Callithrix jacchus: one gene and its partner. The protein of the gene in region 1 interacts with the protein of each later gene in a biochemical or structural test. Links are inferred from orthologs where the notes say so. Each region holds a gene or a part of one and is shown in the gene's direction. Other genes may lie near its edges.

Evidence for each region. The genes of interacting proteins can lie anywhere in the genome.
Region 2: the proteins of SNTB2 (region 1) and PTPRN form a complex in vitro, tested with the Homo sapiens proteins (2 studies listed by BioGRID and IntAct). The link is inferred for Callithrix jacchus from reciprocal best matches to the Homo sapiens genes SNTB2 and PTPRN.

The regions. Positions count from the first base shown.
Region 1 is NC_133521.1:26,738,190-26,742,162, forward strand, and holds the start of SNTB2 (beta-2-syntrophin), read left to right. Parts: upstream 1-1,158; 5' UTR 1,159-1,175; coding exon 1,176-1,755; intron 1,756-3,973. UniProt on the Homo sapiens protein: Adapter protein that binds to and probably organizes the subcellular localization of a variety of membrane proteins. May link various receptors to the actin cytoskeleton and the dystrophin glycoprotein complex.
Region 2 is NC_133507.1:141,052,002-141,056,030, reverse strand, and holds the start of PTPRN (receptor-type tyrosine-protein phosphatase-like N), read left to right. Parts: upstream 1-1,208; 5' UTR 1,209-1,268; coding exon 1,269-1,383; intron 1,384-2,785; coding exon 2,786-2,836; intron 2,837-3,069; coding exon 3,070-3,183; intron 3,184-4,029. UniProt on the Homo sapiens protein: Plays a role in vesicle-mediated secretory processes. Required for normal accumulation of secretory vesicles in hippocampus, pituitary and pancreatic islets.

The DNA.
Region 1 (3,973 bases):
CTTTCTGTTTTTAGACAGGGTCTCACTTTTTCACCCAGGCTGGAGTACACTGGCGTGATCTTGGCTCACTGCAACCTCCATCTCCTGGATTCAAGCAATTCTCCTGCCTCAGCCTCCCTAGGAGCTGAAATTACAAGGGCCTGCCACCACACCCAGCTAATGTTTTTATTTTTAGTAGAGATGGAGTTTTCACCACGTTGGCCATGCTACTCTCAAACTCCTGACCTCAAGTGATCCACCTGCCTCAGCCTCCCAAAGTGCTGGGATTACAGGCATGAGCCTCCTCTATCAGGCCCCTTCTCAGACTTTCTTCCCTTTCTTTTTTTTTTTTTTTCAGTTTCATTCTTGTTGCCCAGGCTGGAGTGCAGTGGTGCCATCTTGGCTCATCGCAACCTCCACCTCCTGGGTTCAAGCAATTTTTCCGCCTCAGCCTCCTGAGTAGCTGGGATTACAGGCACTCGCCACCATGCCCAGCTAATTTTTTGTATTTTTAGTAGAGACGGGGTTTCACCATGTTGACCAGGATGGTCTCGATCTCTCGACCTCGTGATCCACCCGCCTCGGCCTCCCAAAGTGCTGGGATTACAGGCTTGAGCCACCGCGCCCAGCCCAAATGTTCCTTTTATACTGTTCTGGGGACATTTTCTGTATGTCATTTAACCACGTATTATCACACCTAGTTGGTTGGTTCTGTATTTTCCTTCCCCACTAGACCGCAGACTCTCAGCTGTTGCTGGTACTACTGCGCTTATCTACAGGGCCTCAGAAGGAGCCGGAGTCCCTGGTTGAGCGCTCAGTACACAGGGTGCGAACCAATCAGTGCAAGAATGAACGTGCCACCGGGTCTTGCATGCTTGCAAAGTGCTTCTCCAAGCTGATTTTGCTTTTCGTGCCCAGGCAGCTTCCGTGAATTGCACGGTAGAGGTCAATAGTTTCTGCGGGTCCGTGGGGAGCCAATGGAAGGAGGATGAGAAATGCAGTCCCACCGCACTCGGGCTGCCCGCGTCCGGCGACAAGCGAGGGATCCGACAGCTTCTGCACCTCCCGGAAGCGGCTGCGCCGGCCCCGCCCCTCGGGAGGTGGGCGTGGCATCATGAATAATGAATCGCGCCGGGGAAGGGCCGGGCCCGCCCCTCCGGGCGGGAAGGGGGAAGCGCTGAGGCTGCCTGACTGGAATGAGGGTAGCTGTGGCGACTGCGGCGGCTGGAGAGGGGCCGGCCATGGCGGTGTGGACGCGGGCCACCAAAGCTGGGCTGGTGGAGCTACTCCTGAGGGAGCGCTGGGTCCGAGTGGTGGCGGAACTGAGCGGGGAGAGCCTGAGCCTGACTGGCGACGGCGCCGCGGCCGAGCTGGAGCCCGCTCTGGGACCCGCGGCGGCCGCCTTCAACGGCCTTCCGAACGGCGGCGGCGCCGGCGACTCGCTGCCTGGGAGCCCGAGCCGCGGCCTGGGGCCCCCGAGCCCACCGGCGCCGCCTCGGGGCCCCGCGGGTGAGGCGGGCGCGTCGCCGCCCGTGCGCCGTGTGCGGGTGGTGAAGCAAGAGGCGGGCGGCCTGGGCATCAGCATCAAGGGCGGCCGCGAGAACCGGATGCCGATCCTCATCTCCAAGATCTTCCCGGGGCTGGCCGCCGACCAGAGCCGGGCGCTGCGGCTGGGCGACGCCATCCTGTCGGTGAACGGCACCGACCTGCGCCAGGCCACCCACGACCAGGCCGTGCAGGCGCTGAAGCGCGCGGGCAAGGAGGTGCTGCTGGAGGGTGAGTGGGGCCGGCCGACGGGGCGGGAGGGTGGGCGGGCCGCGGCGGCTTGGGCTCGCGGGAGCTCACTTTGTTCCTTCCCTGCCGACGGGGCGAGCCGGTTCTCTCCCCGTCTCTTCCCAAACCCGGGTTTCTGGAACTTAGAGTGTGGAAAAACGGATGCTTCTTGCAGGAAAAGTTGGGCAGCCGCCGAAGTGTGGCTTGCAGCCCCTAAGGAAGACTCGGCTGAGATTGGGCAAAAAGCAGCTTCCCATGAAGCTCCCCCTCGGCCGGATAAGCTGACACTAAGAACTAGAGGGAGAGCGAACGGCTCGAGTGGGTCTGTCTCCGTTTGCCCGCTGAGAAGTGCCGGGTTGGCGCTTAACTCACTCAACTCTGGCTCTTCGGGGCGGGCAGGTCTATTAAAAAAAGTCCAACACCGATGCCAGCGGTATACTTGGGCAAACCACCAAAGCGCTGGTTAATTTATGGGAATTTAACCCATCATTGGCTCTCAACAATAACCAAAGGAGATCATAGCACTTCATTGAAGCCAGAAAGCTGAAACAGCAAGTCTGTGTGGTTAATGAACCTTAACAGTGGAGGATCACGTGTTTGAACATTTACTGCCAACTAGAGTTTTGCCCCTTTTGCAAGAGTCTGCTGCCAGCTTCCTTCCACTCACAGGCGCGCTGCTTCAAGACTATTACGGCTTTTGTAAGAAACTTGAAATGGTAAATCACAAGATAACTTTCAATAACCAGGATTATTCTTTACATTAAGTTATATATGTGATTTGTAAGTTGGATCTTTTATGATGAATTTGAAGTAAGGCAAAAATAAAATTCCTCTCCTTTAAGGACTCATGCATATTGGAGGTGATAGAGTAAACTGTAAACGAAAAGTCAGTTGCTTTCTTTAGCAATTTTTGAGAGGTCAGCTTTCTTTCACTGGTGATTATTGCTAGCTGTGTTGAAAAGAATATGAAAGAAGATGCTGTCCCTTCTTGGTCTCTTATTGGAGAAATGATAGAAAAATGCAAAACAACTTATAGGAAGGAAAGGGATGAAGTTGGTGATTATGTCGTGCAAACTGTATTTAAGTCCCAAGGGAATGCAAAGTTAGAAAGTAGTTAGTAGAGATGGAATTAGGCAGGCAGGACTTTTTCCCTGAGCCAGTTCTCCAAGGAAGTGATGGACATAGGCAGGCAGGGATGAGTCAGGAGAGTATTCCTGGCAGAGGAAGACAGAAGGGAAGGACCAATCATCAAACCGAGAGGCCAGAAGTCCAACTTGGCACAATAATTTTCAGTTTCTTATAAATCAGCTTGTGAATATTTGGAAAAATACTGGTTTATCAGAAATGATTTCATGTACACCAGTTGTGAAATTCGTGTCCCACCTTTATAATATCCTATTTGTAAACCTTGTTTATTTTGGATGTCTAGGTGGGGCTAGACACGGCTCGGAAATTTAGTGTTAATAGAAGGAGTAAAATTATAGATTGTGGTTTGGGTGTGTCTAAAAAAATTGTTATTTTGGCCGTGCGCGGTGGCTCAAGCCTGTAATCCCAGCACTTTGCGAGGTCGAGGCGGGTGGATCACGAGGTCAAGAGATCGAGGCCATCCTGGTCAACATGGTGAAACCCCGTCTCTACTAAAAATACAAAAAATTAGCTGGGCATGGTGGCACATGCCTGTAATCCCAGCTACTCAGGAGGCTGAGGCAGGAGAATTGCTTGAACCCAGGAGGTGGAGGTTGTGGTGAGCTGAGATCGCACCATTGCACTCCAGCCTGGGTAAGGAGCAAAACTCCGTCTCAAAAAAAAAAAAAAAAATTGTTATTTTAAATGTGTGCCTTGAAATTGGTCTAGCTAAGCATTTGGTTATAAATTCTTATATCCAGAATATTGAATTTAGTACTATTTATGTAGTCCTCAGTTGAACCCTTTACACCATATTTTTTAAAAACAACACTTTTTGGCCAGGCGAGGTGGCTTATGCCTATAATCCCAGCACTTTGGGAGGCCAAGGCGGGTGGATCACCTGAGGTTAGGAGAACCCAGCAAAACCTCCTCTCTACTAAAAATTCAAAAATTAGCTGTGGGTGGTGGTGCACGCCTGTAATTCCAGCTACTAGGGAGGCCGAGACAGGAGAATTGTTTGAACCCGGAAGGCGGAGGTTGCAGTGAGCTGAGATAGCACCACTGCACTCCAGCCTGGGTGACAGAGCAAGACTAC
Region 2 (4,029 bases), on another chromosome or scaffold:
ATTTGAACTTAAGAAGCTCACTCCCCCACTTATTGAGTGACAAGAGTGGAAGCAAAAGACCAGTTAGCTGATTGTTGCAGTGATTGTGATGAAGAAGCACAGTGTTTTAGTTCAGGTAGTGAGGACGGGCAGAAGTGGACTGATGGAAGATGTATTTTGCAGGCAGAAACCGTAATATGATGGACAGGCTCAAGGTGGCCCAGGAAGAAAGGAGAGTCAAAGCTAATAAGGAGGCCAGGCATGGTGGTTCACGCCTGTAATCCCAGCACTTTAGAAGCCTGAGGCAGTTGGATCGCCTGAGGTCAGGAGTTCAAGACCAGCCTGGCCATCATGGTGAAAGCCCGTCTCTACTAAAAATACAAAAATTAGCTGGGCAAGGTGCCGTATGCCTGTAATCCCAGCTACTAGGGAGGCTGAGGCAGAAGAATGGCTTGAACCCAGGAGGCAGAGGTTGTAGTGAGCCAAGGTCATGCCACTGCACTCCACCCTGGGAGACAGAGCAAGACTCCATCCAAAGTAAGTAAGTAAATAAATAAATAAATACTAATGACAAAAGCTAATATGTATACAGCATGTAGTATGCACCAGTCCAGGCACGTAACTGACAAAATCTTCACAACCATCCTGTGAGGCAGGTACTATTGGCACTGTCTGAGGCAGGCACCTCCCCTTTGCAGATCAGGAAACTTGGAGGCAGACAAGTTAAACAACCTGCCCAAGACCATACCCTTAGTAGGTGCCCTGCTAGAACTGGAATCCAGGCACAAACGTCTGTCCATTTCTTCTTAAGGAAGACACTAGTACCATCAATGACAATGAGTAAGAGTACTTATTCTACCCACTTTCTGCTTCTCCTCTTCGGGTTTATCATTCTGGACTCACCTCCCTTTCCTGGCCCCCACCCAACTCGAGCATTTTCGCCCACGTAGAGGTCGTGGTCCTAGAAGAGGGCTACAGGTCAAAAAGGGGTGGGGCCGAGTGGGAATTCTAGCGAGGAGCCTAGTATTTGACGGAGGAGGGATGGGCTGGGTAGGTCCCCCGCTCCGACAGGGCTCTTACGCCATATGTGACGCAAATTAGCTTACGAGCCGGGGGTGGAGGTGTCGTCAGCATCCGCCTGCGTTTGGCAGAGTTGCAGCAAGGGGGGCATGTAGACCCCGCCTCATAGCGGGGTGGGTAGCGGCAGGCTCCGCCTCGGCCCCTCCTTCAGGCTCCCGCCAGCGTCGCTGCGGCTCCGGCCCGGGAGCGAGCGCCCGGAGCTCGGAAGGATGCGGCGCCCGCGGCGGCCTGGGGGTCTCGGGGGATCCGGTGGTCTCCGGCTGCTCCTCTGCCTCCTGCTCCTGAGCAGCCGCCCGGGGGGCTGCAGCGCCATTAGTGCCCACGGTCAGGAGGAAACTTGGGCTGGCTGGTGGGGGGGGGGTGGGGTGGGCAGCTTGGGGCCAGGAGGGAAACTGGGTGGTGGTGGGGGTGAAGTGTCAGAAAGCTTAGGGAGAATATGGGTTGGGGGAGTCAGGCGACAGAGGAGGGTGAGAGGGCGTCTGGGAGGAAAGGGGCGTAGGCCTGGAGGTGGGGCTGGGAATACGGGGGCGGGACCTAAGAGAATTGGGCTCCGGGGAAGACTGCAGGTTCGGGAGGACACGGGGTGCTTGTGGACAGAGGGACTTAGAGACCGACTGCGAGACCCCAGGAGAAGCCAGTTGCGCCGAGGCGCCAGGGGAGTAGTGACAGGCACTGAATGGGAGGGGGCGGGGATGTGGCGGAGAGGGTGAGGGAACGGCGATCCCTGGGCAGTGGAAGCCTGGGCCGCAGGCATAAGGTCCTAGCTGGGCCGAGAGAGAGGCCAGGGTTTCTCCGTAAGCCTAGAGAGGCCGATTGCAGCGATGTGATCTCCCGTAACAGGGAACAGCACGGGGAGGGGGCAGAAGAGGATAAAGAGGGGAGGGTCCTCTCCTGTCCCCCTCCCCACAGCCGGGCCTGGTGCTGACTCACATCTGTGCGGACAGAGACAGTCAGCGCTGACTCACGGGCGGAGGGTGGGGGTAGGAGGGTGGTGCGTGGGGGAAGGGGCGCAGCCTCGCCGCCTGGCGCCCTCTTTCCCCAGCCGGGCTTGGAGGCCCGAGAGACAGAGTACTTCCTGTGACGCTGTGGGTTGGCAGAATAGAACGGAGGGCTCAGGTCTTGCGGAGAGTCCTCGTTCTGTGACCCCTTCCTCTCTGGTAACCGCCTCCAGGCGAGCCCCTGGCGGCGCCAGACTCAGAACTTCAGCACCGCGGACAGCGCCAGCGGCCCGGGACAGCGCCGGGAGAGCTGCCTTAGAGACCCCCTCCCATACCCGCTTTCCCCCGACCGGGCGAAGTGTGCTAGGGTTTCCACCTCTTCTGGGTTCCAGGCTATTATAGGATGCTTTTGGATATTTGGGGATGAAATTCCCCTTTCTCTCAAAATTTGGCCAAAATTTCTCCTACAGTAATTCTATGAGGACAGACAAGTATGTTATTCTCCACCACTTCTTTCTCCCTGCACCTGGAAGGTTTCTTCCCTATCACTCAGTTAAGTAAACAGACGCTTTTAAGGATCCAGACTCACAAATTCTTCAAATCCAAAACTAGATCCCATGCTTCCTTTTAAGAATTTTAGGCCTGATTTTTACTCTCCTCCCAGCTTAAGGCCTTCTTTAGAATGAAAGAATAAACTGCATCTGCTTCCCCCTTTCCCAGCCTGTCCACCCATCTGCCCATTCTCTGTGTGTGGGTGTCTGAGCCTCTGCTCACCTGTTCCTCTACAGGCTGTCTATTTGACCACAGGCTCTGCTCTCACCTCGAAGTCTGTATTCAGGGTGAGTGAGGCCCAAGTGTAGAACTGACAAGATGGGGGGAAGATGGGCAATAAAAAGCAGGAAAGGGAGAGAAGGCCAGAAAGGAAGAGGGCTACTGGGCTTGAGAAGAAGGAGGACTTGCCTGGAGGAGGAGAGGTAGGGGAGGAGGTGAAGAGAATACTGTTCATTTGCAACCTGGACTTCAAAAGGCCTCTTGTTCAAGCCTCCTGCTGACACCACTTTTGTGCCCTTAGATGGCTTGTTTGGACAGTGCCAGGTGGGAGTGGGGCAGGCCCGGCCCCTTTTGCAAGTCACTTCCCCAGTTCTCCAACGCTTACAAAGTGTGCTCCGACAACTCATGTCCCAAGGTGAGGTCTGGGTGTGTTGGAGGAGAGAGATTGGAACTTGGTTAGTTATGGGTGGGGAAGAGCATTTCTCTTCAAGGAACATTTTTAACACACCCACTGCTGGAGCCTCATCTTCCCAGATCTTGCTGGAGTGAGAAGTGGAACCCTAGAGATCAGCTATTCACATTTAGACTCTCTGGAGAAGCCCAGAGGAGGCTTCTAGAAGAAGCCAGTGGAAGGCCAGCTTCCTTAGGACCAGTTCCTCTCCCTGGCACTGAGTGCTACAGAGACAAGAACACTGTATTCCTCAGCCAGGATAATATTCCACTCACCCAATTCCTCATTCAACAAGTATTTATTGAGTACTAACTATGTAGCAGGCATAATTTTAGGTATTTGGCATGTATCAGGGAATAAAACAAAGATCTCTGCTTGCTAGAGTTATATTTGGGGGATAAGGGGAGGAAACACACTATAAAAGGTAGAAAATATATAGTGTCTTAGAAGATGATAAATGGCATGGAATATTACAGCATGATAAAGGGATCAAAATGGTGAGGTAGAAAGCTACAGTGTTAAGTCAGGTGGTCAGGTGGAACTTATTGAGACTGAAATTTGAACAGACTTTTTAAGGAGGTGGGGGAGTTTGTCAGGTTATCTAGGGGAAGAGTATTTCAGGCAGACCAAACAGCTAGGGCAAAAGCACAAGTCTGAAGAACACATAGAGGCCAGGAGACTGAAGAGGATTATGGAGAAGAGCAGAAAGTGCAGTCAGGTAGGTGAAGGGTAGGGGAATGTGTGGACATTGGCTTTACTCTGAGTAAAGAAGGAAACCATTACAAGATTTTGAGCATAGGTGCACATGAT